Lepisosteus oculatus: one gene and its partner. The protein of the gene in region 1 purifies or fractionates together with the protein of each later gene. This does not show direct contact. Links are inferred from orthologs where the notes say so. Each region holds a gene or a part of one and is shown on either strand. Other genes may lie near its edges. The genes, in order: wdr19 and ift122.

What was found.
Region 2: the proteins of wdr19 (region 1) and ift122 purify together in Homo sapiens (affinity purification with mass spectrometry; 4 studies listed by BioGRID and IntAct, counting the BioPlex papers as one, with this or other methods). This does not show direct contact. The link is inferred for Lepisosteus oculatus from reciprocal best matches to the Homo sapiens genes WDR19 and IFT122.

What each region holds. Positions count from the first base shown.
Region 1 is NC_090696.1:68,456,100-68,472,281, reverse strand, and holds the start of wdr19 (WD repeat-containing protein 19), read left to right. Parts: upstream 1-9,152; 5' UTR 9,153-9,253; coding exon 9,254-9,259; intron 9,260-9,934; coding exon 9,935-10,026; intron 10,027-10,271; coding exon 10,272-10,337; intron 10,338-11,073; coding exon 11,074-11,199; intron 11,200-12,306; coding exon 12,307-12,422; intron 12,423-12,992; coding exon 12,993-13,108; intron 13,109-14,355; coding exon 14,356-14,436; intron 14,437-15,651; coding exon 15,652-15,764; intron 15,765-16,182. Other genes in the region: klhl5 (kelch-like protein 5), read left to right, coding at 1,974-2,030. UniProt on the Homo sapiens protein: As component of the IFT complex A (IFT-A), a complex required for retrograde ciliary transport and entry into cilia of G protein-coupled receptors (GPCRs), it is involved in cilia function and/or assembly.
Region 2 is NC_090699.1:55,794,434-55,811,409, reverse strand, and holds the start of ift122 (intraflagellar transport protein 122 homolog), read left to right. Parts: upstream 1-9,921; 5' UTR 9,922-10,047; coding exon 10,048-10,106; intron 10,107-10,525; exon of another isoform or gene 10,526-10,658; coding exon of another isoform or gene 10,659-10,666; intron 10,667-10,863; coding exon 10,864-10,930; intron 10,931-11,168; coding exon 11,169-11,253; intron 11,254-11,382; coding exon 11,383-11,461; intron 11,462-12,536; coding exon 12,537-12,613; intron 12,614-12,864; coding exon 12,865-12,931; intron 12,932-13,267; coding exon 13,268-13,414; intron 13,415-14,123; coding exon 14,124-14,324; intron 14,325-15,396; coding exon 15,397-15,472; intron 15,473-16,874; coding exon 16,875-16,976. Other genes in the region: transmembrane protein 43, read right to left, coding at 549-598, 1,621-1,715, 2,598-2,732, 3,156-3,308, 4,042-4,056; mbd4 (methyl-CpG-binding domain protein 4), read right to left, coding at 5,492-5,566, 5,741-5,844, 6,846-6,995, 7,139-7,273, 7,358-7,429, 7,651-8,621, 9,048-9,257, 9,652-9,713. UniProt on the Homo sapiens protein: As a component of the IFT complex A (IFT-A), a complex required for retrograde ciliary transport and entry into cilia of G protein-coupled receptors (GPCRs), it is required in ciliogenesis and ciliary protein trafficking.

The DNA of each region.
Region 1 (16,182 bases):
GTACATACACAAGGTAAAATGCCATCAGGTCCTGGAGAGATGTTTAAGTACTTCTAATACAAAAAACCCCACTTCTACCACTTCTATACTAAAGCTATTTAATTTAGAATTTTGTTTTTGCTCAGCCAGTGGCACATTTTGTGTTACTATTTTGTGATAAACGACTAAGTGAACTAAAATATTTATTTAATATATCATGTTTCCCTTTCATCACCTAAATGTTTCCCCGTTTTTCTTTCCGAACATGAATATATTTTGCTGTGGTAATACTGAAAGTCTTTTATTTATTTTAGTCTGCTTAGCGACATTCTTTTTTTCCCTCTCGGTGAGGAATTTCTATATTTTTAAGATTCAGTTGTCTAGTTACGGCCCCTGTTCCTGTTCACTAAAGAATGAGACACGTGGACAGGCTTCTCTGACATTACCACCTGCAGAGCCCTTCAGAAATGTGACAGGTTGAAAGTTCTACACAGCATGTCAGGAGAATTAGCCTTGACCGAAGAAGCAGAGCATCTCTCACTGAAATCTCCCCGAGCCGACAGACACCCCCTAAGTAGCAGGAGTCTCTGTTGTCGACGAATTGCAACTCTCTTCATGGCTCCATTCTGCCAGTTTGGGGAATCCTAGTTCCTCTCACTGGTAACCAGTTACTAGGCCACAGAGCTCAATCTATTCTCTTAGCAGCTGCATTTAGTGGTTGAGTTTATCTGTGTGTTTAGCTGTGTGCTTGTGTTTATCTGAGTGGTTGGCTCATATCGGTCAATGTTCATTAAAAAAAAAAGGTGTCCTATTTAGAAGTTTCAGTTTTCATAAAGAGTTAGAGTAAAAGGTTTTCTGCCTGCAGGGGTGTAATGTATTCTGGCTGACAATCCCTGCTCAAGAAGAGACTTTCATATTTGAACAATGGAATATGTGTGTGTAAATGTAATTACATATTAAAATGTTAATTGCCACAAACCCACCATAGACATAGGCAGTCTTCCCACATTTGTATGTTGGAATAGTTTATATTTCTTTTACAAAACTCGTTTAATGTCTTTTCATTGTAACAATGTAGAGGACAGCATGAGAACATTTTATAGATATTGCTATAAACTGAGCAAGATTGAAGCATTTTTAATAAAGTCACAATGTCGAAAGCTGGTAGGGTGGTAAATGGGAAATGTCCTGTAAACTCTGTAGTATTGAATATTGAATTACTACATTCAGGATTATTGTACAGAAAAAAAGACAGGTCAAGGCCACCAAACTGAAAGGTGGCAATTCAGAAGGAATGTCATACTCAACACGGTGACACATACAGACAGGCTGTGCTTTTGAGTGAAAAGTTTAAATATCAGTTGACTGCCTAATAGAAAAAAGAAAAGTTCAGATGTCAATGCCTTGAATTCAATTTAAAAATAACAAAACAATGTATGTGTCATATGTTGTGTTATTTTGTGTCATATACTGTATATTTTTTTAATTGCTGTTCTAGTTTAAAGAAAATAACAGTGTCAGTCCTGAGTAAAATGCCTAGCAACACGTCTCCTCCAGATCACTTTGTGTCATTCATGGCCTCTCCTGGAGTTGTATGCTGTCTCTCTCTCTCTTTCTATGCAGACCAGAGCAAAGAGAGAAAGGAGTTCATTTGCCATATTTTAAATTGAGATTCATATTTGTGCCGTTCTTTTTGAACAAATAAGAATAAATAATGAAAGTACAACAAAGCACTATAGCATGCAACGGATAGTACAGAAGATTAAAAACACAGGACTCTTCATACTTGGTAGCCAAGTAAATAGCAGAGCATATGTGCTGCCCAGAAATCTCCCTTTTCTAAAACACATTCAACAAAACTGTCAGAGAACATGTTAATCACACACATGGAAAATGACATTTTTAACATGCAGGAACTGAAACTTTTTCATGAGGTGTGTGCCGGATGGTGTGGGCAGCTGGTTCACTGGGTTATTCCTTGTGATCTTTTGCAGGTTGCACCGTTGTGCCTTGGGAGGGCAGGAGCCTGTGTTGTGGCAGTGAAGTTATAACCCAGCGTCTCCTTCTCCCCAGACATCATTACAGTTCTTATTCTCTTTGTCAAAATCCGCGGCATTTTTTTTTTCTTCTGTCCCAAAGAACTACTTAAAAGGGATTCTACCAAGGAAGAATTTAATATCTATTTCCATTCTGCTGTGTATTGGAAACTTTGCTCATTTAACTGCGCTGTGTCAATCATTAGATAACAGCCCAGCATGATGTACAGCATGTAGCCTCTGTGGAGTTTTTTAATCAGCTGGGCTGAAACTCACAGTCTTTCTAAATTACAGTTTGGCCCTTGTCCAGTTTAATGTGCTGATTCCCAGTTTGATTTTGGATAGGGTTGATTGTACCACAGGGAACAGTATATGGAGAAAGGTTGGAGTCTGAGGCGTGTTATGCCATCGTCACAGACCTCACTGTGCTAGAAGATACTTCTGCTCCTGAAACGCATCGGAGGCTGGTGGGGGGAGGGGATGTTCCCTCTGTTACTGATCCAGACAAAAGACATTCTCACTTTAGAAAATGAAAAAAGAACCATGTATCATTTCTCTTCCTCCTGACAGGTTACAAATTGCATTTTTGGGGACATAGTGAGAAATTGGGATTTTACCGGAGCTGAATTTAATAGCACAGTGATTGAACTGCACATACTCCCATTTTCCCCTGGTGCTGTAATGGATGCATCTCACTGAGCATCAGTGTTCTTTCACCAATGACAGTACAGGCCTGAGACAGGCTGTCCTGCACACTGCTCAGGCAGCAGTGGAGGAAGAGCACAGGGTGTGTGTTGTTTGGTGATAGACATCCATTGCTATTTCTGAAGACATACAGGGTAATTAGACATCACTGTTTGTTTCTGTTCTTTAAGTCTCCTTACTAGACATTCCATTTTTTAAATATCTTTTTAAAAGTAGCCATCAAAGTAGGCAAACATCTGGGCTATTTTCAAAGGCCTTTCCTGCCATTCCAAGCTTATTGCCTGTTTTTGCACATAATAAAATGCTAAATTAAACTCCTGGTATTGCGGGATCAAAAAAAGTGGACTGCTCAAATTATCTGAGTGACTAAAGTGGCAGTTTAGTTCTTTATCGTATTGTCTTATGACTTTCACTCCGTATTTGAGCAAGACACAAAATTGTAGTTTTAGATAAGAGAACAATCGTCACATACAGTAAAAAATAATAGTGACCCACATTGAGACAGGGAGACTCTAACTTTGAGGACATTCAGCAGTACATCATTTCAAATTCATGAATGTATTTTTTCTCTTCTTAGTATTCACAGCACCACTGATCAGTTAAGTGGGATTTTGTTGCATGCACTTTTGAAGCGAATGGCGTAACGCAGACTGTAGCTCCATCTCAGTGCAGCCCTTTGACTTTAAAAACACATTTCCACTTCAGAGAAGGGATCTGGAGTCTCTACAAAGAAATTCAGAGCAGAGATCCGTAAGTCCACGTGTGAAAATGAAGCCTTGTGGATTCCTCCACCTGATACCTCCTGAGTTTTAGGAGGGAAAGCCTTCATTTCAAACTCTGGGGCGGGAGGGGGGAGGTGGTGGAAGAACAGGTGGTTGGAAAAGGTCTTGGTTGAATAAACACCCTGTTGCATTCTCTGATATTTTAATCAAAATTATTCAATGTTCCCATTCTCATGTTCTCCTTCTCAAAATTCCAGAAAAATCTATGTGATATTATATATGTATTGTACTGTATTATATAATTATTATAATCTATATAATATTTTCTGATTTTTTTTTTAGCCAAACAATAGAAACATTCCAACAGAACAGAGAGAAGGTTGTTTATAGGGTAACATCCTGAGCATGTGATGAGTGCTGGCCAGAGCTGGAACTTTGATAGTGGTCTTATAAAGTCTGTCCCCACTTGGTATAAAATGAAGTGTCTGTAATACAGTTTATAGATTGCTTGGACAAATAGGGCAATATTTTATGTTTTTAATTATTTGGAGATGTTTAAAGCTTGATTTGCTTTTATACTATACTGTATGTGCCTACATTTTTCTTCTCATTTCAATTGTATTTTCATTGTTACACGATGGGGGTGTGTTAATGGTCAAATTAAGAAGGTATTCCTCTGAATATTAATGTAATATAAACCAATATTATCTATATTGAATGGAAGATATCATATTATATGATAGTCCACATTGTGGGTGCACAGTTGGTAGACTTGCATTGGATCCATTCTGCATGGCTGGACTGAGGCTTTGACTGGATAAGTTCCACAGGTCAAAGTTGTACAGTACAGTAGTTCCAGTTCAATGCCTGGAAGAGGCAGCAGCAGTAGTTTTTGAACATGATCTGTTAAGAACAGTTTCTTGGGACAGGATATTAGCAGCAACCTAAACTGCCTTTAAAAAGCAGATACTGCAGATTTTACTTATCTTTAGGAAGTCTTAATACTTTCCTTTTTTTCCGTTCCTTCAAATGCAGATGCCATTTTTGGGGGGCTTTTCTTTACTGTTGATGTAGAGCTGTGGTGTTCTGTGGTTCAGTGGAAGGAAGGGGTGAAACTCCTGGGTTCTCATTCAAAAGAGTAGTACATTTCTGAAGGAAATTTCTTCTGCTCAACAACCTGAGACGACAATGGCGGACAAGGGGGACAGATGTTAGCAGATTTCAGTTCCCTGTTGCCCTTGGCATGAACGAGCCCCCACTGTAAACATTGCTCCACCCAGACTGCGATATAAGTAAACAGGATTCCTACATTCCTTCATTCAAACCTGTGAACTGCATTCCTGCTGGAAGTGTGCATGTCTGTTCTAGAATCCTTTGTGTCCATCTGTTGGGGGTGACAAACTGCTTTGAACCCGTGTTTTGACCTTCTGTTGCCTTAATGGAGAGTAGGATATTACAAATCACAGGGCACTGTCTTTGTCACCCCAGAGTTCCGACAGACAAGCATGAGCTTCCAGCTCCCCCATTCTGGTCCCAGGCCCTCCTGTGTGATGTTCTCACCCTGTGTGTGGTATTTAAGTGAAATGTTTTATATATTTGTTTTTCGAAAGGGAAAAATATTTATTTAAATATATGACTTTATTATTTAGCAACTTTGATTTTTTTTAAATAGTTTACTGCATGCCTTGTTTATTCTCCATTCAATCTGCTTTTCTGTGCACTTTTTTATATTAAAATATTGGAAGAAGAAACTGGTGTGTCCAGTGCATTTTTATTAACTGTGTTTCTGTTATTTTAACAGATTGGCTTGGTCTCTTTCCTTCATGTGAGCCATGTGTAACTGTATGAGGATATATCGGTGCCCGTCATGGTCCAGGAGAGTCCTTCAGGTTTTGAAAACTTAATCTACAGTATCACTGGCTAGAGATCATGTTAATCTTGGCTAATTAAGTACCCGAGTGGTTCCATTCAGTAGTATGAATCTTGAATTTGGAAAGAAAACCAGAAGATCCTGAAATTCTCCTGGACCAGGGCTTCAGCCCACAGATCTAGATCATAATCCTGAGATTTAAAATCCTTGTTTTAAGGATTAAGACATCATAATAATTCCTTACACTTATATAGCGCTTTTCTGGACACAAAGTGTCAAAGTGGACTTAAAATGCTTTACAGGTAATGGGGACTTCCCTCCTCCACCACCAATGTGCAGCCCCACCTGGATGATGTGACGGCAGCCATAGTGCGCCAGAACGCTCACCACACACTACCAGTGAGGAGGAGACTAGAAGGAAGAGGAAGCCTGTTAATAGATGGGGATTATTAGTTGGCCATAATTAATAAAGGCCAAGGAAAGATTTGGCCAGGACAACAGCTCTACTTTTTTTGAGGAACACCCTGGGGTTTTTAATGACCACAGAGAGTCAGGACCGGTCTTACATCTCAACTGAAGGACAGCGCCTGTTTATAGTATAGCATCCCCGTCACTATACTGGGGCATTAAGACCCACACAGACTGCAGGGTGAGCGCCCACCACTGGTCCCACTGACACCTCTTCCAGCAGCATCCTTTGCAGGGTGCTATAGCTGCTGGCTTTATGTTGGTTAGATGCTGGACATGTTGGTTATATTTGATTGACTGTGGCTTTTGCTATTTCTGTTCATGAAACAGAAAATTTTAAGCTTCTCCTTTATTGACCTTAATAAATCCTTCCTTCTTTATGCTGGACACGCACAGCGGTTTTGGACAAGCAGAACCTACAGGATCTATAGGTCTTTTCTCTGCCATCACCTGTAATAAGAGAAGACATTGTTTATAATTCAGTGTACACCAGAAAAGAGAATCACCTTGGCCACGGAAACCCAGGAACCTCTTCTCGAAATGTCAGTTACCATAAGGATTCAGACAATCACCCGGTTTTGAAAATGAATAGGGAAACATTTGGACAGGATGAGCCATGAAGCAGCAGCTTGTTGGCAACATGAAGTCTAAATTTAATGATGAAGAAACTTAATTTGGGGAGGCTGTTAAAAATGTAACATGGATTGAAGCACTGTTGTACTGTGTACAGATGCACTGTTTGTGCAGCGTGCAGTTAATTCATGGGTTAACTGCCACTATGCACCTGGAACAGTCCAGACACACCTGGGGAAGCTCAGATCCTCACTCTCTCTGGCAGATGACAAACTGTTTTATCTGGATCAGCTATGGTTTTATTTGCTGAACGGCACAGACTTCAATCAGTTGGTTTAACGGCTGTCAAAGGAAATCCTGTGAGTTGTTTGTTTCCTTCTCTCAGTAGGACATCTGAGGACATCACCATTCTTCATCTGATGGTGTGTGACAGGATTTAACATTATTTACAGATCAACGGATGGCATTGTAAGGATAATTGATGAAGTCCAGAAAATGTTTGTTTCCTAGCCTTTGTTTTTTCATGGAATACCAGCAGTTAAGCAACACATTTGAAGGGCAGGCTTGCACTGACATTATTAGTTATTAGTGATCAAAGAGTAAGCTCTCCTCCCTTCGGATGATTTATTCCCTAGGATTAAGGCTCTTGCTCTCGAATACCTCATGGTATTTTTTTCCCTGGCAGTTATTGTTGTGTGTCTACTTCCCCCAGACCTGCCAGTAAAACATCTGTGTTATAGCACCCTGCTCTCAGGTGTATCAAGGTGAACTTGAACTTGCCACAGGTACAGTATATGACCTCAAATTATTATCTATGAACCTTATAAGAGTCTCATTTTAGGAGACCATGTCATTGTTCTTTTTTTCTTGGTTTTGTGCGGCAGTTATTTCAGATGCTCAGCCTGACTGTTCAGAAACCTTCTGGAATCTTCTGTGAATTTGTCTGGGTTGTTACTGCCGGGACCTTCGGCCCCACACGGTGACTGACGTGATGGCTGGGGGGGTTAGCGATCCCTCGTGTAGGCAGGAACTTCAAGGGTCACTTGGAAATTTTCTCTCATTAGGATTTTGTGTAACGTTTCTCGTACTGCGAAAAACTGCCTGGGGGTCTTTATGTTTGACATGTCAGATAATATAATTTCTCCCATCCCCCGCTGCTGTCTGGACCCTCCTGGGACAGGTAGTGTACAGAGTGCAGTCCAATGAGGTTTCCTCTACAGAATAGTAAATACGTTCAGACTGAGGCCACCGCTGTGAAGCCCCACTGCGTCCAGAAAGCCCAGGGCTCTTTAATTTCTTCATGTGTGCCGAATGTGCTTGTCTGCAAAGGGGATTTTTTTTTCAATACAAAATTACGTTTCACGATGTGAAAAATCTTACGTTTAAAGAGATAATGTATTTTCCCGTACTGCACCGAGGTGAGTCAAACGAGACAAAAAATGCAAATAAATTACACGGCAACCAAAACCCTGTAGCTATTTAAATGCTAATGTCTAAATTATATATTTATGTAAATGTGGTATTTCTCTGCCTTATGCGTTTATACTTACATATAAATGCATATGTATCTCTATATATTGTACACAAAATTATATTTTATTTTGAAGTGAAGATATTTATTATTATCCCTTTAAAGCAAGATTGTAAAGGCAAGATATAGAGTATAGATGGGATAATTTAAGTGTTAGATTCTTTGCCTTTTTTGATAGTACTATCAATAATCAAAATATACAATATAAATAATCGACAACTTCAATCCAGGTTTGTTCTGAGTATGTAATATCAATGCGGTTTTGACAAATCCAGCTGTTACTAGTAACGAAGATATCAGGAAGAGGGCATCAGATGACTCTGCTACTTGGTACATGGTTCATCTTGACCGTGTAAATACATCTTTAGTCCCAGATTAATCACTTTTGGTTAACTTCAGCGGCACAGGTTGTATATTCCGGTGTATTCGAGCATTAGTTAATTAGCTGAGCACAGATAGGGCACAGATACTTGCTAAATTAGTCGGATGTGATCAAACCGGCAAAATGTAACGACTGTCATTTGATTCAGTAATCAATTCAGTTATAAAATCATTCAAGACTGTTTAATCCATCACCTGACAGAAGTTCTCTTGTACATGAATATGATAAGGAAGGACAATCAACTAACTGCACGGAGAGATGCTAAAATGCAAAATGGGGATTTAAAATTGTACTTGTTAGATTCTACCCGCGAAAGTGGGATTAACGGTTTTGTGTGTATGTCCTCTATCCTGTAATTGCATGGAATGTCGTTCCTCTGATCTGAACATTGTGAGTTTCATGCAACTGTTCAGCAGAAATCGCTACCTCTGGGCAGAGAGGAAACCATGCCAACGTGACCTGCCTGTCGATTGCTTCAATCTGCCCGGCCAGTCAATCTCACCAGAGCCGCTAGAGTTGATCGTATGTCCAGAATGTTGCCTTCATAATCAAAAACTAAGGATACAAATGCAAAGTATAAACTTTATGAACCTATACCAGACTGAACTACTGCATGTTTTTGTGATACCACGAAATATTTTTTTTTTACTTGTTAAACGTCAAAACCAAATAATACATTCGGGACGTTTTCTTCGCTGTGAACATAGCACAATGCGCCAGAGAAACGGAGAAATGCGATGCTTGCATAGCAGCAGTTCAATGAGCCCCGAGGAAAGGAAAGAGGAGTGCCTCCAGGCCTACAAGCGGCTCTTGGACTTCACGTCCCAGAATGCCTTGAGAGCCGCGATTTTGCGGTTGGTTTCGAGGTGATTTGATTGGTTGCGGCAGCGGGTCGCTATGGGTGACGCGGACGCTGTGGAGGGATGCATTCTGGGGCGAGCAAAAGCTGAAATGGTGAAGTTCTCTCCTGATGGCGAAAAATAAATTATGAAGGTATCAAAACATTATTTTATGACTGTAGTTTCTAATTCCGATCGCGATCATATGAAAAAGGCACGTGTTAAACAAAGTTACATATTTCTATTCTGTCGAAAAGACCGGCAGTTTCAATCGCCGTGCAAAATAACAATTTCATTGAAGCTCTTTGAAAGATTAATCTTTATTATGATTCTGTGCTTTTCACTTTAGACATCGATCTTATTAACGCTTTCCTGCTTTTCATTTTTGTTTATACATTTTAAGTTTACACACTTATTAAAATACATAATCATTGAATACTGTCATCAAAGAGGCAATTTATAGATTGCAGAAATAGTCGCTAATTATCGCCAAAACATGCACTGTATGAGATTTTCCCAGAGTGTTTACAGTTCATATCGTAAATGGATGTTTTCGTCGACGCTGGTTTTAAGATGTAAACATATAATAACGATTAGTAATCAATCTCAGTTGCAAGGGATAAGAATGGTGAAAATAAAAAAAAATGTTTCTCTGTTGTGAAGTCTTGAGTATAAAAGTATAGAGGCAACGACGATAAACTGAAAACGTATCTAACGCATAAATAGAAATAACAGAAATGCAAACCACTGAGTCTGAAACCTCTCTTTCGCTGCCAGAATGAGGAATATGATCATTGTAGTTACACAGCATCTTCGTCTTCTCCCCCAGCGAGTGTTCACCCTCTCCGACAGGGCCTGGCAGGGCTGCTGTCTGCAGTACAAGTGGCAGAGGACTCTGGGGAGTTATCTCGCTGTCGCTGGGTAGGTGGAAGAGCTCCTGACTTTTCACACTGATCAACAGGAGTTGGGCCAAGAGGACAGTGAGACACTGTGTGCGCAAACATTGACAGAAGAACAACATCCTGGCTCTCTCTCCATGTTAGAAGACGCGTTGTCTTTTTTTCAGTCTGCTAACAATAGGATGTTTTGTTCCTACACCGCGGTAATGTGTGTTTTTAAAAATGTGCTGAAAAGCGTGTGTTAAAAATGACTTTCTTTTTCTGAAGACCTGACCAAACCGTAAAAATCTTCGATCGTCATGGAGAGCAGAGGAATGAACTCAACCTTCCAGGGTTAGTATATGGCTACGTGTAGCTAATGTTAGGCTGTTTTCTAATCTTTGCTTTTTATTTGTTAATTGTTCATTTCACATTGCAATCCAATGTTTATCTCAGATTACAGTTGGACTAAGGGAGACCAGAGCTTTGAGAAAAATATATAAAATTGAATCAATAAAATTGAGTTACTATAGCCACACCTGCAGATAGACACACACTTTGTATGCAGACACCCCTTTAGTATGACACCATGGGTTAGACATTCACATATTCAGTGGGGAAATAATCTATTGATAAACCACCAAGCAGCCTATATCTAACTGATCTAAAAGAAAAACACTGCTGTCTATTTGAGTATTCTGATCTTCAGGTCAACCATTATTATGCTGTTAACATAGAGTTGGAAGTGAACACATTTGCAAATGGAAATCCTTCTTGCTAGCAGTCTTGGATACAGGCTCCTGGCCAAAGTGCTTTGTAGAGTACTCCCAGAACACCCTCCATACAAAGCACTGCTAGCTTCTTCCCTGGACCTCTCAATCCCTATTCTGTTGAGTGCCCAGAATTTGTGCATCCAGGTAATATTAACTGCTGGCTAGGTCACTCTAGATACGCATTTATATCTGATTTCTTTTTCCTTCCCTGTGGTTTTGTCAAACCTTTAAACCAGTATCTGTTGTTAAAACAAAAGCAGGGCACCACGCACACAGTGAGGCGTTTTTGTGTTAACACTGACTTTGTCACTGTTTAGTAAGTGTGTGGGAATGGACTGGGATAAAGATGGAGACATCCTGGCAGTGATTGCAGATAAGTCCAGCTCTGTCTATCTATGGGACGCCAACACCAACAAGATCAGCCAGCTGGACAGTGGCATGAGGTGGGTAGTGAGGATCTGAGAGCCCTGCTTGCAGCGCCAGTCTTTTGGATCATCGATTAACTGGATTTTTGTTTCCCATAGGAGCTGTTTTTCAGCTTGACTTTGCTAAGTATAGAGAATAAATGTGATGTGGTCAGACTGTCTTGAATATCGATTATAGTTTTTTTTGTTTGACTAACCCAGTAAGACCAAATCTGATTTGAATACAAGTCTTAAGGAATGGGAGGCTATTTTTGGATTCGTTTTCTTCTTATCCATCATATTTCAGTTCAAAGAGGTTATGATTTTAAACTATTTGATGAGGGCGCAACGGTGTCTAGATTTTAACAGATTATAACTCAATTTTTAAACCTTGTTTAACCAAAAGCTTTGATATCCTACCACAAAGAGGTACTGTATATCAGAATCACCATCAGTAGGCACACCAGGAGAATATTTCACTAATAATTAATCATTTCTTCATTCTCCACTCATTTTTCCAGGAAGTCATATTCTTACCAGCAAATGGGCTCAAATGTAAAGGGTATTTTGTGAAATCTTTGCCTGTGTACGACGAACTGTAGACTGACAGAGATGTAGAAACATAACTCTTTCTCTTTTTCATGGGAACCAGTGACACTTATTTAGCTAAGTTTAGATTAAGTATATGAAATAGATATTGTGGCCATCTACAGTGCCACAGGTGATGTTTAGGCTTGTAGTTCGGGAAGGCTTGGACTTTGTGGGACTAGGTTATGTGGAAACAGAATCAGATTAAGACTCCTTTCTTTTTTATGTATAAAATTTGCATTACATGGGGTGTTGTTACAGTGTGGAAGTATAAGGTCAATAGAACTCAGTCTTTGAAAAGAAGAGACTCCAACAAGCATAGAAGACTGCTGGTTCTTTTAGCAGAAAAGGTAACCTGTCACTATTTCCCAATGAAGGATGTGAATATATTTAATGAAAACAGTTCTTGTCTTGTTTGGGGGCGTAAAGACTAAAAATATCTAGGTTTTATTTGATCAACAGTCTTCATTAAAATGCATCTCATTGCTTCTGTGGTAGATGGTGCTTCAGACGTCTGTCTCTTCTGTGTTAACTACCTGTGATCCCTCTTGCCCACAGGGACCAGATGTCCTTCCTGCAGTGGTCAAAAGCAGGATGCTTACTGGCTGTGGGGACTGCCAAGGGGAACCTTCTCATTTACAACCAGCAGACCTCCCGCAAGATTCCAATCCTCGGTAACTGCATTTATCATTGGGCATTGCATTTTTGTCTAACGGTACTGTTGTGTTAGACTAGTTAAAATATTTTTCTTAATTTATTTGAATTTATGCTTTTCTGTTTTTTACCATTTAATCCTAAGTCTTTACTTTCTTACCATTCAGGGTATCAGTATGCAGTTTGCTAAATAAGGTCTTTCTATTGCATTACACAATTTTGATATGACATCTCTTTATTTTAATCAACATTTGACTTTATATCACAACAGTTTGCATCTTAATTGACTCCCAACATTGTCTACAAGATGTCGATGATGTGTTTACATAAACATAATCTAAGTCTTTTTCATAAGTAATAAGAATAAAATTAATGTAAAGACTATTATTAGAAGCAGTACTAAACTACCCTTCTTTTCTTCCCCAGTGCATGTTGAGCACGACTAATATTTCTGTATATTACTGTGTTCACTGAAAATTCAGGATTATATTCCTGCTGAAGATGATGTGATTCTTCAGCTGTTCATAGTGATGTTCCTGGCTCAGTGAATATGGAGCTAAAAAATGTCAACCCTTGTCGTTTTTGTTTAGGAAAGCACACAAAGAGGATTACCTGTGGCTGCTGGAGTTCTCAAAATCTGCTGGCTTTGGGGAGTGAAGACAAGACAGTAACTGTGAGCAACCACGAAGGAGACACTATAAGACAGGTGATCACTTTGTCTTCAGGGAGACAAGTGGCAAGTTCTCAGAATGAAGTGCCAGTGAGGGCACAGCTAGTATGTATACCAACATAAGAAGACAAAAAAATCTTAAATAAATTACAGACACCAACACAAAACATCTACAACTATTTTATCCAGACATTTAAAAAAGCTGTGAGCACCAGGGTCCTGTCTTTTACTGACATAGGGAAGCAGAAATCTACCCTGCAGCTAAGGTACAACTATCTTATAGGGTAAAGAGGGAACATTTTTTCTAGAATAAAACAGCTATATTCAGGGTTACAGTACTCTATAAAACATACTAAATTAATGGGAACTTTTTTCTCTATTCCAAATAATGTATCACTCAAGTTTCTCCAGTCTTTTCAATACCACAAATGGAAAATCAGTATTTCCAGTAATATAAGTCACCTGTCCCTGGTGTAAATCCTGGAGCCGGTCTCTTCAATGCTCAATATACCTAAAAGATTTGTAGTCTGGTTTATAGAAGAGGTACAGTACCTTCTCAAAATGTTTAATCTTCTTCTCTCTTTTAATCTCTTCTCTGTAGTTTGTCTTCCTATCTCTGCTCTGTTCCTTGTTTATATTCTTTCTGTCTGATTTCCATATTGATTTTTATACTGTCTTCTTATAGTAATTTAACGACCTCACTAAGAGTGATCTTGTGATCACTGTTAATAATGAGGAAAACAGCTTAGCCCCTTGGTCAAGCAACAAGATGAGATAAGGACAGCCAGGCAAATGCTCAAACATTGTCATTATCTTACCTTAAAGAATGGGGTGCTGTAAAATGTGAACTTTAAAGGTTTTCATACCCTTAACACATAACAGTACGATTATGCAAAATCAGGTTGTCAAATCTGGTCTTATATTACCCCTGTAGATTCACTCTCAAGGCCATTGCTATGGAAACACTTTAGTAATTTGTCATAAGGTTTTCAGTCAGTTACAAGGACCAACAGACTGATAGTATGAATTAAAGAAATATCCTTGAACATACATTTTATAGTGAGTGCTTTTTTGGGAACTGTTGTTGCTATGTTCCTTGCAGTTTCTGTATGTCTTTACAATGAATAGCATGAAGTGCATGCTTCTCTAAGGCCAAGAAATCTAAGAAATATATATCGACGTTTTGTTTCTAAGCAGTCATTTTAATAGTACGAATATGCAGTGAAGAATGTGGCAATGATCGCCTGTTCTTCAGCCCTATGTCCTGGCTTTCCCATTTCCAGACAACAGTCCGTGCAGAGCCTGCTGATATTCAGTTCTCTGTGATGAAGACAGATGAGCGAGCCAGCATGGGCGAGAGCACTGTGAGTTTCACCCTCTCTCAACACAAGCCACAGGCAGCTTCCAGGCAGTTATTCAGCAAACCTCTGATGTCTCCTAGACTCGCCTCTCCCTGGAAGTGTGAAGTTCATAGTGGCACATCTCATTGGCTTAACTGCTGGAGAAGTTCATTATCTGTCTGTATTTGTTCTCTTGGGCTGGCCTTGAAAGTCCTTAAGGTGGATTTTTTAAAAAAAATTCTGGTTAAAAGAGAGCCGATGATTGTGATGAGTTTTGTTTAGTGCTCGGTACATATTGAGACAGAAAGACAATGGTGCATTACAACATCCTTTATTCATTACATGTTGAACAGTGCCCTTTATGCATTTGTGTAGTTGTGTGTGTTAGTTATTCATCAGAGCTGTTGGCAGACAGTGTCTATTTTGTGAATCGGCGTATTAAATTATGTTCAGTTCACTCGAACTGCAGACTCCTGACCTCGACTGTCCCCGCCCAGTATTTTTGTTCACAGCACATAGCTGAATGTAACTTGATCATTGGGATTTTTGAAATTTAGGAAACAAAAAATGGGGCAGCTCAAACTCTCAGCCATGCTAATACCAATTGAGCAGGCAGGCACTTGGAAAAGATTTGTGAGATTCTGTCTGCGCTCAGGTGGGAAGGAACTGATTAGTTGTGGAATGATGTTCCAGCACAGGGCTATCAATCTCAGACTCCTGGGAGATCATCATGATCTTCTGGCTTCTGTTCCACTCTGCACTGTCTCTGGCAGAATGTTTGATTGACTGGAACATTTCTAACTTTTCTATCCAGATATGAAAGAAATCATTGCTTTGTTGGCTTCAGTAAAGCGTTCTTTTACATCATCAACTATAATGAGCTTGAAAACAAAAAATATGGCTATCTGTGCCAATTTTGAGATCAGTTAATTGAGAGGTTAAATTGGAACACAACGATCTAATTGCCCTCCGGGTACTGAGTTTGACACACTTGGTTCAACAGAAAAATAGGAACTTAAAAGAAAAACACAAAAACTTCAATCACTTCCTTCCATCCTCTTCGGCTTGTGTGATATAATATGAAACATAACATTTTTATTATCCACAGATTATGACCTTCCAAAATCTAGTAATCCGAGTTTTATGGGAAGCATGGTTAGCCTGTAACTGTTATTGTATACATGACTTCTTATCCAGTCCTCTTGCCTGTTGTTCTAAATTGGCATATTCTCTCTCTAGGCCAGTGTGGTGGTGGGGAGGAAAACCTTATTTCTTTTTAATCTCAACGACCCTGATAACCCCATTGAACTGGCCTTCCAGCAGCGCTATGGTACCATAATTGCATACCGGTGGTAATGCCTTTACTGTTTTCATCTTTTCTTATTTTAATTAGGTCTCAGGGACAGGTGTATCTGTAACATAAAAGTCAGACCTGCAGAGCTATAGATCAGATTGCCATCAAGCAGCAGTCTGATCCATTTCGTATTTGATGAGTCACTTGTATAAGCCAGCTCCAGGTCCTAGAGATGTTAAGAGTTATCTTATTTTAATTTTTGAAATTTGCTTAATCAGATAACAAGGCCAAACAATATTAAACGCTATTATTACTCAAGCCTGCAGCTGGAAAAAATGCAAAGGATGCTGATGTTGGGTAGTGAGAGGCCTGCATTTTTTAGCAAAATATTGAAAGATTTCTTTATAAATAAAATGTCAAGGAGGAGTGAGAAAAACTGTTGGGATATAGATATTATAATAGCTCTAGGAAAACTG
Region 2 (16,976 bases), on another chromosome or scaffold:
GTCAGCCAGGGTCTTTCTGGCTAGCGGTGATGTCAATATGGGACATGCTACACCTCCAGGCAGCACTATGTCAAACACTTCAGCATGTCAAAGTGACTCTACATTTGGGCAGGTCTATGCGCGTAGGGAATTTCTCAGAAGTCACGCTATTATGATTGCAGCTAGAAAAACTTTCAGTCTCCAGCCTGAAATGATAGAGGAGCAAATATGGCCAAATAACATTTAAATCTTATTATGTGATTTAGTGTGATGATTTGTGACAAAAAAAATGATGTATTAAGGCAGCTATGGAATAGATTGGTAACCAGTATGTTGCTCTACCATTAATCCTTTTTTAAAAATCAGCATGTCATTACAGTTCAGTCTCTGCCAGGCGACAGTGAAAAGGAGTGTTTTAATTGTGCCTACTTGAATTCACTTTACTTGTAAAGTTGTGGAAAGCTTACAAACCTAACTGCAGTGTGTAAAGATCTAAAGCTTTATTGTGCAGTCTGAACACTGAAGCCCCATCTAACTGAAAAACAGTGGTTCACACTGACAGTACTCACTGTACGTATATGTTGTTTCAGTCTTCCGTTCGCCATTTTCTTCATAGTCCCTTGGGGGAAAAGGATGAAACAGATTACCAGCTAATGCAGCATTTGTGAAGTGTAATTATTCTGCTTTCTTTAAATAGTACTACTAATCAACTATACTATATATGATTGTTTTAAACTGTTACAGGCTTGACTTGTTAAAGATGCTTGTTTAAAAGAAGAAACTGATCAATAATAAAAAAGAAAATGCCCGTTCAAACTTCAGTTAGAACTCGGCATGTGAATAACTAAGCAAACAACTTCTGCAAGACAGTGAGAAACACTATTTTCAGTTTCACATACAGTATCCATACCTCTATCAGACACTGAAATACAGCATGTGGTACATTGAGCCGTGGTATTCGGAGACTATGAAATTTGTTTTGCAGAACATTATTAAAAATGGGTCACTTACTTGAGAACATTTTTTAATTTGATCATGTATTTGTGAATGTACAGAAAATTCTGATTTCATGTGCATTTTTAAGGTTTGCTAAGGTATATCCCCGAAACTTTGGAGGTTAGCCTTGAATGGACAGGGTTGTGGAGGGGAAAATCCCTTTACAGAAGGTTGATTATTCCAGGTAGGAGTCACAATGACGAGACACCAATCCCAGAAGCCCAGGGTGCAAACTGGGACTACACCCTGGACAGCACGCCAGCTCACTGTAGGACACATCCACCCAAAGATGTGCAACAAAGATAGAGAGATCTGTTAACCTAGCTTGTTATTTCTTTATGAGCAGGAAGAAAAATGAAGCACCTGGAGGCACCACACAGACACAGGGAGTGAAGGAAAAATATTCTGATGAAACTGGCCAAATTATACTCAGATCTTTTACAAACATTTAATTCATAAAAAGAAAGCACTGATATTCGCACTGTATAATGACGTTAAGCTGTGGGTGGGTGTATTATGATACGTTGGCAAAGTGATCATGGGGTACTCTCCACTGTTCTCCCGTGTTGCACTATGACAGGCTGTGCTGTTGACACAGCGTCCTGACAACAGTGTGGTGCTAGAGTTGTGCCTTCAGCCTCTCACCGGCTCTCTTGGTACTCCACCCACTGGTACATTTCAACCTCCCGCTTCAGCTTGGCTGCATGGACGCTGATTCTGTAGTTAGGGTCGTTCAAAGGCTGCAACAAGTCACACGTTTCATTCTCAGGACTTAACAGCACTTAGACAGGCAACATACAGGTACAGTACATGAATGTGGGTCCTAGGTGGAGTTTGAGTCCAGTACTCACAATGGTACAATGTGCAATAGTCTCAGTCGGTGCTTATTTTGGTCAAAAGGCTACCTTTGTGCCACACTTACCTGGATACACTGTATTTTTAAATCTTACCACTCTTTCTCTTACATGTAGTCCAATAAAACTTGACATTCTTGCTGCCATATCACCCTGCAACTCAAAACTGGCAGCCCACTGAAGCTAAGTAGGTGTGAGCCTGGTCAGTACCTGTATGGGAGACCTCCCAGGGAAAACTAAAGTTGCTGCTGGTAGAGGTGTTAATGGGTCCACCTGCAGTCTGTGTGGGTCCTAATGCCCCAGTATAGTGACGGGGACATTATACTGTAAAAAGACACTGTCCTTCGGATGAGATGTAAAACCAAGGTCTTGACTTTCTCTTGTCATTAAAAATCCCAGGGCATTTCTCAAACAAAGTAGGGGTGTAACCCCAGTATTCAGGCCAAATTCCCTCCTGGACCAATTATGTCCTCCTAATAATCCCCATCTATGAATTGGCTCTGTTCTCTTCCCCACTGATAGCTGATGTGTGGTAAGCGTTCTGGTGCACTATGGCTGCCGTCGCTTCATCCAGGTGGATGCTGCACATTAGTGGTAGTGGAGGAGAGTCCCCATTACATGTAAAGCGCTTTGAGTGGAGTGTCCTGAAAAGCGCTATATAAGTGCAAGCAATTATTATAATTATCATTAATGATTAAACAGTGTTTCTTTTAATTCAAAGTTTTCCTCCTAGCAGGAGGGGCCTGACAGCTATGCTGCCTACAGTACCTGAGGTGTCCGCAGGGGCCCAGACAGGTGCACCAGCTTTCCATTGTTCTGAGGGTCAACACTATGAATATTGTCCAGAGGCACCACCAGAGACAGGCCCTCATCTAGGGAAGCTGCCGTCTTCAGAGCCCTTCCCTGAGCAGAGAGACAATATACTCTTACTGGGCACCTTCAATGTACAGTTAGCTGCACTTTTTATTTTTCGCAAAGCAGTTAAAACCAGTTAAATTACTGTAAGTTAGAATGCAGGGAGAATCCCAGCTGACAGACTCAAAAGGCTTTTGTTATTTCAAATATATTAGACTGTGCCTGAAATACAGCAAGGAATTAATCTTCTCAGTCATCACCAATGAAAACCTTTAGAGCCGTGTTAGCTAGGGCAGGGTGTACAAGAATGGACTAGATCTTGCACATTATAAATGTGTATGTTAAGCCATCTTAAAATGAAAAGACAATAGCATTTCTACTACATGAAACGCAAGTGTCAAAGGGTCTGTTCCTTTAAATGTGGTTGCCCCAGCAGCTCATGCTGCTGACGATTAGCTTGATTTCTGGTACCTCGTTAGTGAAGAGTACATAAAAAGACAGGGCAAACAGCCCGATGCCAATCAGCATTCCTCCGCTTGTCTGGCTCAAGCGCTCGAGGAATCCAGCGTTTCTATGGCTTGTCACTTTCACATGCTGGTCCTTCCTCTGTCCTTGGGAAGGCTGCTGAAATAAATCATAAAAATAAAACATTTAAGCCCACATTCACCTTCGCTAACAAGAGGCAGCATGCTTATTAGGTCATTTCTATAGCACGGAATTTGTAAGTGTAATGTGTGTCCGTAATACAGTATGTTAAGAGCATGTGAAGTGGGCTATTTAAGTGCACAACCATTAAAAAAACATTTTTTAGCCAATCTACTCTAAGATTGAACCTCACACTTTGATAGACTTACTGGATACCTTTTAAAACATGTATGAAAAAAAGTCTCTAACCCCATCCCTATATACCTCCTTCATTCTCCAAAGACCATACCTCACTATTTAAGTGTAATTATTATTAAAAGTGTACCTTGTGGTTTTAAGATGTGCTTTATAGTTTGTTTAGTGAATTCCACAACTCTCTCCCATTACTGCCTGGTACAGCTCTGATAGCTAAATGGGAAAGTTTACAAACAGCGCATTTTGCAGAAGAAAATTAAATAAGTGCCATACATGTAACCGTGTTACTTGTAAACGATGAAAAACATTTTCATCGGTTTTTTTTCAAGGGTTAAAATTATGGTTTAAAGGTAACAGCACCTTCAAAAAAGATCAAAATGTTTTCGACGCAAGGAAATATGAGCATCAGTATCATAACTTAATCCAATCATTATTCGATTTTCAGTTTCTATTCACCGTGTCTTACATTTTCGTGCCTTAAACGCACAAGTCTAGGTAAATTAAATACTTCACTTACATTAGCGGCCGACATTGTGTTGATCTCCGCCCTGAGTTATTCAATTTCTAAAATAAAACAGTAAAACGTCCGTATATACGATGGATGTGAGAATAGCACAAAAACTAAATAATTTCGGAGTTTTGTGAATGATCTGTTGGGATTTGCATTCGCTCAAAACAAACTGCTTCCAATTAAACCACCTATTCAAACAAACCCGAAGTTCAAAACCGGAAAAATTTGGACGTTCAGGGTTTAAAATAATTACGTTCCTTCGGCGTCTGCGCGATTGCAAGACCGTCGCCGTTCGCTTTTCCAATTTGTCAACTGTTGTGTGCGTTGGCGCAGCGAGGTTTTCTGGGAACTGTAGGCTGTACATGTAACGTATGACCATCCGTTATACTAGTATATCTGTTTTTACTTGTTATGTGAAAATTCAAACATTAATCCAGTGAGTTTTAGCTTTTTCTAAAACTATGCAACCAGATAACGATTAGCCGTGGGTGTTTCGGAACGTGCAAGCAGTGCAGAAATAATAGCGTCCCTTTTCAAGTAAATGACTATAATATTATGTTGAAAACATTTTCATATACACCAGCTTTACTAAAGTCAACAGTTAATCTCTGTTACAAACTTCCCAAATATGTCTTTGGTTAGGTGAGCAGGTAATTAATTCAGCACTAAATCATGACCCGATAGTACGTGACAACTACTCTTGCATTTATTAAATTAGAATATGTGTGCTGACCTTTTTTCAAATGCAGCTATGTAGCTTACATGTGTTAAAATATAACTGAAAATGTTATTATTTATCATTAAATATCCTATGTTGCCACAATGAAATCAATTACAAATCAGTCCAAGACTGAATTTATTAATAGATTAATGGGTACAATAATTTAGTACAAATAAATTAGTATAAAAGGTGATACATTGGAGATGTGAATTAAGGAAACTTAGAATACTATTCTAAGTAGATAATACTATTATCTTTTTTTCTAGTGTACAACTACAGGACATTTGAAGAACCGACTTCATTTAAATAATCAAGTGGGAGAATACAGAGCTGCTACTTCAGAGAGAGATTAAGACGTTTTAGAAAAAACAACACCAAAAAAAACAGAAAAGTACAAAACACAAGCTTTTTTATTATTATCTCTAAAAATATGTTTTGCGTTAAAGAATATTTTAATTACAGATTATATGTAAGCAGATACAAACTTCAATTTTTAAGCAATGATATGTATCTTAATAGTTTCTAGCATAAACACACAAAAAAGCACACGCATACAACCTGACAATATAAAACCAGTCAAAAGCTGACATAACTAAAAACGTGAAGACCTGTGTTTTATCACATGGTTGCAGTCCAGTACATTTTTTGAATGACAGAGTGGTAAAATGCAACAGCAATAATTCAACATTATTCTCCCTGAACCACTTTTCCGAGATTCCAAGCTTCGTCTCGGAATCAGATACCCAGGTGCTCGTGGTTTTCCCGGAGCCATGCATGATACAAGTTCAGCTTGTGATCTTGGGGATCAACCTAAGAAGATAAACATGGATAAAAAATCGACAGTTACCGTCACATTTTTCCAATCCTGCTTATGTGTCCATAAAAAAACAGGGCCCGTATCATGTCTGGATAACTCTGTCATCCATTTTTGTGATTACACTGGATAGAGTTCTTAATCAATGAGTCCAGCTGCCCCCAACTCACCTGTTTCCATTCATTGACACAGAATATCCTGTAGGAGTCGTTGCCATACTTTCCTATACCATGGAGCTCGATGGGGTACTTCCAGTGTTTTGTTAAGTATTCATCTGCAATGGCAAGAATCTGAAATGTAAGCCTTTCGCACCTGTACAGAGTTCAAAGGCTTTACGAGAGCAAAGGTTTGTTCTCCTACAAGAGTCTGCTATCTAAGCAGGTGCAAAACCCCAGTCGGTCACATTGGTGCCAGTAGAGAACAGGATCAAAATGAGGTCACACACAAAACTGGAGAGAACTCTTTCAAGTATCATCAGAGACTTATACTGTGCTCTTTTTACCTTGTGTGTCTGCTGAAAAGTGAAAATTTCACATTGGTTTTCTAATACACAATGTACAGTAGATGGAGGGCTGATTATAAAATCATTTTGACTATGACTGATTGTGATGGGCAGGGTGAAATTAGATAAGCGTCATTATTACATCCTTTGTTAACCACAACATACAGTGGTTGTTATCCATAGTCTGTGGATAATAAGCAGAAACTCCCTATCACCCAATTATGACAGGGGTGGTGTGGTGTGTCTGTGGCTAAGGAAGTTGGGGTATGCGAAAATACAAATTCCTAATACAAGAAATTGCATATGGCCAATAAAGTGTTTTATCTTATCACAAAGTGAGCTTAGTGCACTACACTCCAAATACAACATACTTACTTCTGCAAATCGTATGATTACACTGATGAAAAGAAAAACATGGAAAAATAATCCTCAACATAATCAGAATATTATGAACATTCAGTTTTATGTAGTTCAGGACTATGGTGAAGAAATCCATCCTTACATCTGTTTTCTAACCGGTTCTTCTAGTTCAAAGTACCAGCACAGAAAGAGCTTACCCTGGCAAGCAACAGGCACAAGGCAGGGTACACCCTGGATGGGATGCCACCCCACCACAGGGCAGATAGGCACCAACACACACACGCATACAACTCACACCTAGGACTTGTTGAAGAAATCACTGTGACACACAAATTGCTTAACATACTGTAGCTACAGTATAGTGAGAAATACATAATTGCTTCTTTTTTGGTTTAAAACATTGTATCACTCACCTGAAAACCTCACAATTGTTTTGGCTCTGAGTTCATTGAGGCCCAGAGGTTTCAGCAGTTCAGCCATTTCTTTCCAGTCGCTGACACGGGCCACCTCAGGAGACGGGTAACGCCCAAAGAACTCCCACAGCACAGGGATTGCCATCTTACCTAAAAGAAAGAGTCTCTTTACTTTCAACTGACAGAAAGACAGAACTGAACCGCGCCCCACATCCGAACCTAGTATTTTAGGTTAGCTCTCTGTGAAGGGAATTGTCTCATTGTCCTGTTCTGTTTGAAGCCACAACTCTTACCGCTGGTTCTATTGAGGAAAATGGTGGCTATCAGAAGCTTCCAGGGATCATGGAAAAGAGTCTCCTGTACCAAGGCAAAAGGAGAGCGAGGCGGAGTCCATTTCTTAAAGGCCTTGCGTCTGGGTGGACTTGGAGCTAAGAAAAATAAAGTGAACATGTTTCATTTGGGAGAGTTGTCCTTTTTGTTCCTGGTAAAAGTTGAAAATGATGTTTCCTTACCTTCTCTGGCTAATTTTCCAGTGAAGTACTGGCTTGTTTTTCTTTTCTCTGACAGCATTTTTATGCCACAACCTGAAGGTAAACAAAACAGTACCAGATTCATTGATGGACTTGGACAATATTTCAATGTTTCTATCTAAGGTTTTCTTAAGCCTTCTCCTTTTGTAACTGAATATACTGTCTATTTTCATTGCAAAACATATCAGGCCACGATTCCTATTCGGTTTGGAGAAACCCCTCAATGTTCCCCAGAACGTTAAGAGCTATACTCAAAGATTTAACTTTATGCTTACTGCTTTGCTGCTGTTTCACTGATGTAAATGTCCCCGAGTCCCCCGGAGGAAGTGAATCACCATCTTCTAGCGCAGACTCAGTTTCAGGTCCGACAACAGCTTGCTGTGTCTCTGCAGCGTTCTTAGACACAGGCTGTAAGGCACTTTTCCCTGGGGCAGAGGCCTCAGGCTGGTCACACACCACTTCTCCCGACTCATTTTCACCTTCTGGGGAAAGTGCGAGCTCTGCTCCTTTATCCGCTTCACTTATCTGGGTCAGTCTGAGAAGCTTATCCTTTAAAAGTCCCTTTTCAGTCTCTTTTTGATCTCCAGTGTGGTTTGCAATTTGATTTTCTCCTCTTTCACCGCTCACAGTCAGTGCGTTTACGTCATTTACCTCACATTCCTGTGCCAGTCTGAGAAGCTTGTCTTTTAAAAGCCCCCCTTGAGTCTCTTTTTGGTCTCCAGTGTGGCGTTGACTTTGCCCTTCTTCCATTTCACTGCCCGGAGTCAGTTTATTTCCCCGTTTGCCCACTGCTCTTTCAGCACCGGCTTTTCTAACCCTACTGCTGGGATCCTTCCTCTGTTTCTGTCCTCTCTGTGGTCCTGCGGGAGTGAGCTTTGTCAGTGAGTGCCGACGTTTAGCCCTGGCTCTGCAACTTGTGCTTTCAGATTCTGAAGACTTGGATTTCTCAGCACAAGGCGCAGAAAAGACCCCGTCAGTGGCAGCATCATGTCCAGACAGCTCTTCTGACACACTGCTGGGTGACAAGTGTTCCTCTTCGGCTGTAATCTTAATGTCAGTTGTGCTGTCCAAGACGGTTTCTGAAAGTTGGAGAGCTTTCTTCTTTTTTGTCCTCTGAGGTTTTGTTAACTGTTTGTCCTTCCCAGGTACAGAGAAATCAAAATCTGCACCCTTGAGACAGAGTTCTTTGTTATTCTGAAGGTAGACATGGAGTGAAGCTCTTGATCTGAATTTCCCTCCCTGTGGACTGAGTACACCAAGTGTTAATTCCTTTGGTTCAAAACAAAATACGTCTCATATATATATATATTGTTCTCAGATCTGACTAACAGTTACAAAAACAACTGTACAAATGTATTTTTAAAAGCTTGTTTTTCTATATGGTAATGCATAGGGACCATTCTCTCAGACATGCAGACTGCAATAAACATGAGTAACAACATCTATGTACAGCAACAAGAAAATAGAACCTGAAGTGTTGTGCCTCTTTTTAACACAGGTTTGAGCATTGATGTAGATATAATTACTTTATAAACATTTGTAAAAACATTTTTTAGAGGATGTTATTGACCAATCATAATTGTTCATTTTCAAATGCCCTTGTGCTTATCTAAAATGGGGAAGATGTATTTGGGATCATATAGACACTTGTACTATATTTATAACCCAGTACCTGATGATATATACGTCTACTTTCCCTGCCGTTTTTCCAGATCGCCTCTGTTTCACCATTTTAACCCAGCCTGGCGGGACTCCGAGACAGCAGCAGGTCTCCATACACGAGTCGGGGCTGGGACTCTGCTTTGGTGCAGCTTTCTCTTGCTGGTCCTCATCTGACAAAGAGGGCTCTTCACACGCTATTGCTTCTGTGGTAGCAGTTTCACTAGGTTTGGAAACAAAACACACAAGTTTCCAAAATGTCTAGTTACAAAAATGTTGTCTATGAGACTAGGATAACCCCGTGCAATACTATAAATCCCTGTAACATACGGTATATAGTACCACAATTAGCTATTTAGTCACGAAACCTGCCTTTAAAATTAATACACATGCATTTCATAGCATGTCAACCAAAAATAAAATATATACAAAACGTTTTTACGAATATAGAAAATGTACTGAAAATGTGTTCTGCTTATGTTAAATTATAATGGCCATAGATAAGAAAAGCATAGGTACAATATAAGCAAACAATTAAACTCTGACTAACAGTATATATCATTAAAATAACTGGACTAATACAGCTTTTAGATCACTTAGCTGTTTTGCTTTCTTACCTGACAGTAGTTCTGCTATTAAGATCATCCATCCGTAAACGCGGTAACTCAAATTCATGCATAAACTGAATCCGTAAACGTAAAAACTAACACACAGTCATGCTGATTTAGATCAGTGTTCCATCGTTAAAATGCTACCGCTCGACGTATTAGAATTAAAAAGATGGAATTACAATAACTCTGCTTTGGAATAAAACCGTGATGCTTGACACTTTCCTGTATACTTCTCCTGTCGCACATGCGCAGACCGCTCAGCAAGCTACATGCAGTGTGCGCATGCCCAGTGTGACTCCGAGATGTAAACAGTGTGATTGCGGAAAGAAGTGGGTTCTCTACATTGTTAGTTTGCTTTGAGGAAGGAAAGTGTAGAGCAGCTCTTGCTAAAACAGAACCACGATGAGAGCCGTACCGACATGGATAGATAAAGTGCATGATCGGGATAAAGTAGAGCAATGGTAAGAAGGAGACGTTTTTAACCACGTATGGTCGCTTAGCGGCATCTGTAGGCCTGTTGCTAACACCGTTGGCTGTCGATAGCAACCATGGTTGCCAATGTAAACTGTGTGAGGAAAAATGTGTCACTTTAACATATGGTAAAAATATTAAACAACTACGTTGTTTTTGGAACTTTGTCATTATAAAATATTGAGTCATTTAAAGTCGTCGTGTTTATTTGCTTTCAGTTCATCCTAGGCATATGGCTTATTTTTAGCCAGTTACCATACTAAGCACTCAATTACTCTTGCATCTGATCGAATGAACGTGTGTATTTATTTAAATGTTTAAATTGTTGTGATTGTTTAAATTGCAATAACAATTGTGATTGTTTATACCCTGAGCTGACACATAACATGCATTCAAAGATAAATACTGTACACTGTGCAGGTTTCGCTGATCATATTTTTAAAATCATTGCTTTTCACTTGATTTTTTTCCCACTTACAGTAATAAAATATGACCAAATCAATCGCTTTCCCAAACTGAGGAACAATTTATCAAACGGACAGATGACATTGTTACGTTTCATTGAGTTTTTTGTCCTTCTTTTGACATTATGTAGAAAGACTCAAATATGTATGGTGATTGTGTTATGAAACATCCCACAAGGAGTTCTATCATAAACTAATTTAAAAAGTATACAACTATAGCTATAGTAGTATCACGAAGCAATAGTGCATTATTGTAACTATAAATCATTCTTCCCCTAAACAGTATTTACGACCTTGCGTTCAAGCCAGATGGGAGTCAACTTATAGTTGCTGCTGGAAATCGAGTTTTGGTACGTGCTTTTGGAAGTTGTGATGTATTTTGTGTAAAGATATATATATATATTATTTAAATACTCTTATACGAATATAGCATTTTTCGAAGACATATTTCGAAGAAATACTATGCCTTCGTATTTTTAACGTTTTACACTTTCAGCACCTTGAGTTTATTTTTCTGATTTTTTTTTAAATCTCAGGCAACTGTGGAATGTTCTTTGTGGAAATTAATTATTTTGTCTTGTGTTTTAGGTTTATGACACAGCTGATGGAACACTTATCCAGCCTCTAAAGGGGCACAAAGACACAGTATACTGTGTTGCCTATGCCAAAGATGGTCAGTTTTTAAAGCCTGCTTTGAAAAAAATGTTACTGTATATATGCTCTTCCCATACTAAATAAGTATCTTACATATACACAATAAGGTGTAGTAGCTTGACAAAATAACAATATATTTTTTTTCCAGGGAAGCGTTTTGCTTCAGGTTCAGCTGACAAAAGTATCATCATTTGGACTTCTAAGCTGGAGGGAATATTGAAGTATACGTAAGTAAAACATTTTAAAGTCCTCCTGAATTTGTTTTTTTATCTGCACCTTTACACTTGTTGATGTAATAATTTTACTTTTGAGAAGTAACAATCGTGACACAAAAAGCCAAATAAATGACCTTTTATGAAATTTCTTGTCTTATGAATTCCTGTGTACAATGGGCTCTTCAGTCAACTTTAAGGAATTATTTAATAATACCATTTAGAGTTCTCAACTGGGTTTTACAAGGGTTTAGCATGGGTGGTGATCTGGCCATTCCTAGTGAGGTCATTAATCCAGCCTCCATAGGAATGGGCAATAGTATGAATACAGGAATGTAAAGGAAGGGTTAGTAAGGAGAGGAAGAGGAAGAGACATCATTATCATCATGAGAAGCTTGTGCTGGGAGAGAGTGCGTCTTTCAAATTAGACTTGAAATCAGGTGTAGTCCAGGTAATTTTAATCCAGAAAGAGCAGCAGATTCTGAGCCATATTATTTAGGTGGTTTGTTGTTTTACTTGTTCAAGAAAATTGTTGTTTCATATATTGTGCAATCCTCAGTCTTAAACTGTCTTTTGTATTTTACTGATTTTAGAATAGGAAAATTGGCTCATCGAACTGTGAGCATCTGTTTAGAGAGGGCGATTTAGTGCTGGTTAGAATCCCTTTCGTTTAAAATGCAGGTTCTTTCTTTTTGGCCTGTTAAGGATAAAATTATTTGATTTTCTGTGCCTATATAAGGCAGAGCTCTGGAGCTTGCAGACATGTAAATATCCATTCATAGTAAAAACATTGTATGCTGTGCAATCTTGTGTGTTGTATAGTTCTGTTATTTGTTAGAAAATAAATTGTGTAAATTTGGGCCCAATTTCTATTCTTTTATGAGGATATGCCAGAGAATAGGTGCTGTGGAATGCTTGATAATCCCAGATTTAATTAGGTAAAATTACTGATCTTTAAAATTTACTTGTATAGCATCCTAGTACCAAGACCTGATTAATATTTGATTGTTATACTGAATTGATAACCTATTTTATCATTTTAAAATCATAGGTTGTAACAATTTGACAATTTGTTTTGTTTTTTAAATAGCCACAATGACTCCATCCAGTGCGTTTCATATAATCCAGTTACACATCAGCTGGCCTCCTGTTCGTCCAGTGATTTTGGTGAGTTGTTTTGTTAAGATATGTTTGTGTTAGTATAACCTTAGGGAAATAATTCCGGTAATCATTAGTGATCTCTCCGTACTTAAAACACAGATGCTTATCATTGACAGTTTGATAACTACAGCAGCTTCTTTACTGACTATGGAAAACAATAATATATTATGTGGAGTATTGATTTGATAAAACAGTGGTATTTTTGTAGAAAGTTGAGTAAACATTAACATGAATACTATATTGTATTACCTATTTAGGTTTGTGGTCTCCAGAACAAAAATCTGTCTCCAAACACAAAGTCAGCAATAAAATCACATGTTGTGGGTAAGTTATAAATACTAATTTAATTGTCTAAGCAACCATTGCTGTGTGTGTTTTGTGAGCAAGAATTATCTGTCCCATTGTATATCTTAGCAGTTGTGGTTTTCATCATATTAGTTTAGTTGTTATTGCATAAAGTGTTGCAAAGTTGTAAAAAAGAGTTTAATATTATTGGACATAGGATGAGCCTTAAGAGTTACCAGTTCTTTTGATTTTGAAAACGTTATCTCACACCTGTGATCTATCCATCCAGTCTTCCTGTATACGTGGACTCTTCAGACACAAAAAATAATTTATCATATTGTTGCGTGAGAAAACCTTGTGTAAATTTGATTGCAGGTGGACCAATGATGGTCAGTACCTTGCTTTGGGGATGGTGAATGGAGTAGTAAGTATCCGCAATAAAAATGGGGAAGAGAAGGTGAAGATAGAACGTCCTGGAGGTACCCTGTCACCCATCTGGTCCATTGCCTGGAACCCATCCAAGTATGTAACAGCAAAAGTAAAAAATCCTGGTTAGCTTGTGATAACTCGAAAATGAAGAACAGGGAACATATAAAGACTGAGCACATGGAATCAAAACATTCTATCCTATAATTCTACAATCAAAAGTTAATGTTGATGTATTGTTGAATTTGAACATGGCAAAACATGTTTTCTCATTTTGATGTAAGGAATACAAGTTTGTTAAATAATGACATAAAAATAATGGTTTAAAAACTTTTACATATGAGGAACGGAAACGGTATGTATTGATCTTTTTGTCATTGTCTTAAAATGTTGATGTAAGCTTCATCGTTACTTTATGACTAGATGTTGTCATGAAGTTTGTATGATTTTGTGTTTAATGGGTAAAAAGGAAAACAATTCCATATTCTGTGTAATTACAAAGTGACAAAAATTAGTGTCGGCTATCAACAAGTATAATAGGAAAGTGGAAAAATCAGAGGTATTTCCAATTTCATGATAGATATTATTGAATCGGTGCCTTGAAACTGGATTTACGTACATGTATTAATTCTGTATAAATACAGAATTTCCGTATTCTACCATATCCTGTCAAGTAAACCTTCAGTCAACTGCATGTCATATTCTTGCTTTGGGAACAAATTAAAAAAGGTAGCTTCATATGGCAGTGATTTCAGGTGTAGAAGTAGAGGTGTAGAAAGCCCCCACATGTAGCCAGTGCTTGCAGTAGGTGGAGGACTGTCTGGAAGAGATGCCCTGAACATGGGGAAGAGGAGCCACTGACGGAGGGCAGTGTTTGTGCACCTTCTTACCTGTGGGCTGAAACAAGTTCGAGTCAGGGCAGTGAGGCAGAGGAGTCCCAGCTAGAAGAAGAGAGAGAGGATCTGGAGGGCCATTTGCTTCAGGAACATGTTGACAATACTGATCTGTAAGTGATAGCATTTGAGGTAGGGGAAGATCGTTTTAAAACTTTAAATCTTTTAAATGGTAGTATAATTGGTTGATATTGATATTTTCAATTATTAAGTATATATATACAATGTAGTTAAAAAGCAAGAACACCCCCTTAAGAGTTTATGGTTTAACATGTTTAGAGTTACTGTATTTGACCTTTACCTAGTCATTACCTAGTAGATCAAACTAAACTCATTTGACAAATAAAGCACAGAAATTCTACTTTGGCTTTATTTTAAAAAAATAGCCAGACTTTAATATCTTTTTGTGAAAAAGTAAGTGGACTTCTTGATTCGATAACTTATATATATATAATATAACTTATAACTTATATATATAACTTAACTTAATAATTTTTCCTGTTGATTTGTTGATTAGTCTCTCACATCTGTGGGGGGGGGGGATTCTGGTCCATTTTTTCTTAGAGAGCTGCTTCATTTCTGTCGTGTTTGAGGGCACAGCTCCATTTAGGTCATGCCGCACCTGTCTGTATTGTATACAGATTTTCGCATTCAGGTTTTGTGCTGTGCAAGACACGCAGTACAAAGGCATCAGGAAATGCATGTAGACGGCACAAAGTGATGGTTCTTTGAGTTCGTGTTTATGCAAACACTATGCTTCATTTGTCAGAGAAGAATAGATGGTAGCTGGCATGCTCCACAGCAGAGGTATGTCACATGTGGGTGATTTGCTTTCTAGGTGGTGACCATGTCATAACCTATTCTCAAGGATAGTACATTGTGAACAGCAGTGTCTGCCCCAGGTTTTGAAGTGTTCTTCCTCTAGTCTGACGTCCAGAGCCCCAGTTTCTATTCCATGCTAATGCCACTAATGAGAATAATGAGAATCATAAAAAGGAATAAGGAACTGACATAGAGCATAACTTGAAACATTCTTTGTCATCAATTGGGATTTTTATTTTATGAGTTGTCTCTTTTGACCAGTAAAAGAGTTTGGGCTATATTTTGATGGGGGTTTTGTATTTAAGGTCACATAATCAAGAATAGTCCATGCGGTGGATGACAAACATGTTTTTCTTGTCACAGAGATGAGCACAATGACATCTTGGCAGTGGCAGACTGGGGCCAGAAGTTGTCTTTTTATCAGCTAAGTGGCAAACAGGTAAGCATTCAATTAAAATTTAAGTAGCAACATGTAGTATGCTTTAACAGGAACATTGGCTCATATTACCCTCACCAAATCACTTTTTTAGCAAGAAAGAAGAATAGGTTCCCCTTATTAGTGTGATAAGGCTCACCTAAATTGTGATGTTTAATGTTTCTGAATATGTATTGAACATTAAAAGAAACTTGTCACTCTCTTTATGTGTGGACTACTGTTTATGTAGACCACCCTGACCTTGTGTCATCAGGTACTGACAGGAAAACATGAAGACATTGCACATTAATCTAGGTGGACAATGCATGTTCTCATGCTGGTTGTCTAACAATGATTTTCTTTCAAAAGAGAGTATGACATTTGTGCTGTAAATGCCCTGTGTACCAGACCTGAGGCCCATTGAACATAAATAGGACGATGTGTGGTATCTAGGGCCCAGAGACCAGTGAAGAAGCACATGCTTTTCCAGGCTGTATGAGACAGAATCCCACAAGAAAACAACTGCAATCTGGTGTAAACTATGTGCCATTGATGTTCATCTTGTATTGCTTCCAGCTGTTGGCCACACGCTGCTACTGCCTTTCACATTAGACCCCTGTTAATTAACTCATTTGATAACAAAGATTAATCAGCATAAAAATTGACCTCTTCTAAGTCTGTTAAAAAAAAAAAATAGGTGCTTGTGTTCCATAAAATATTTTGATATTTTCCTGCTAGGTTTTTAAATATTTTGTAATTTGTGAAATAATTCTTATGATATTTGGTATAGTATAATAATAAATAGTATGAGTAATAAGTGAGTAGAAAAATGTTACTGTAGTATTGCATTTTCAGATGTCTACCAAATGCTAAACTGTTTGCACTCATGTGTTTGATCTTTAGTGGGCCTGGGGAAGTTGAAGATTTGGATCCACTTATACCATTAAACATTACATACTCCAGGGATAGGCAACTCCAGTCTTTGAGTGCTGAGTCCCTGCAGGTTTTAGAGGCAACTTTTAATTAGCACCTGATTTAAACTTGGAAAGAATTTTGATTTATTATTTGCTTAATCAATTAAATTCAAGCTTTAAATATGATATGGAATAGAAACCAGAAACAAATACGGCACATAAGGGCTAGAGTTGTCTACCACGATGTACTCTTAAATAGTATTTTGTTATTCAACATCATGCATTTTCAGCCTGGGCACCCTTTTATTCTCAAGAAAAAACAACAAAACAAAACTTACAACATTGAGATGATATACGATGGCATGCTGTTAATTGACAGCAATGGAAGGTAAAGCTTTCTTTGAAAATGAGATACTAAAACATACCCAAGGGATTTGATCTTATACTTTGCATTCAATTCTAAAATTGTGCCCTCTAGGTTCAGCTGATTTAACGTGTCTTTGTGTTTTCAGATTGGAAAAGACAGGTCCCTGAATTATGATCCCTGCTGCGTCAGCTATTTCTCCAAAGGGGAGTATATTGTGATGGGGGGATCGGACAAAAAGGCTTCCCTG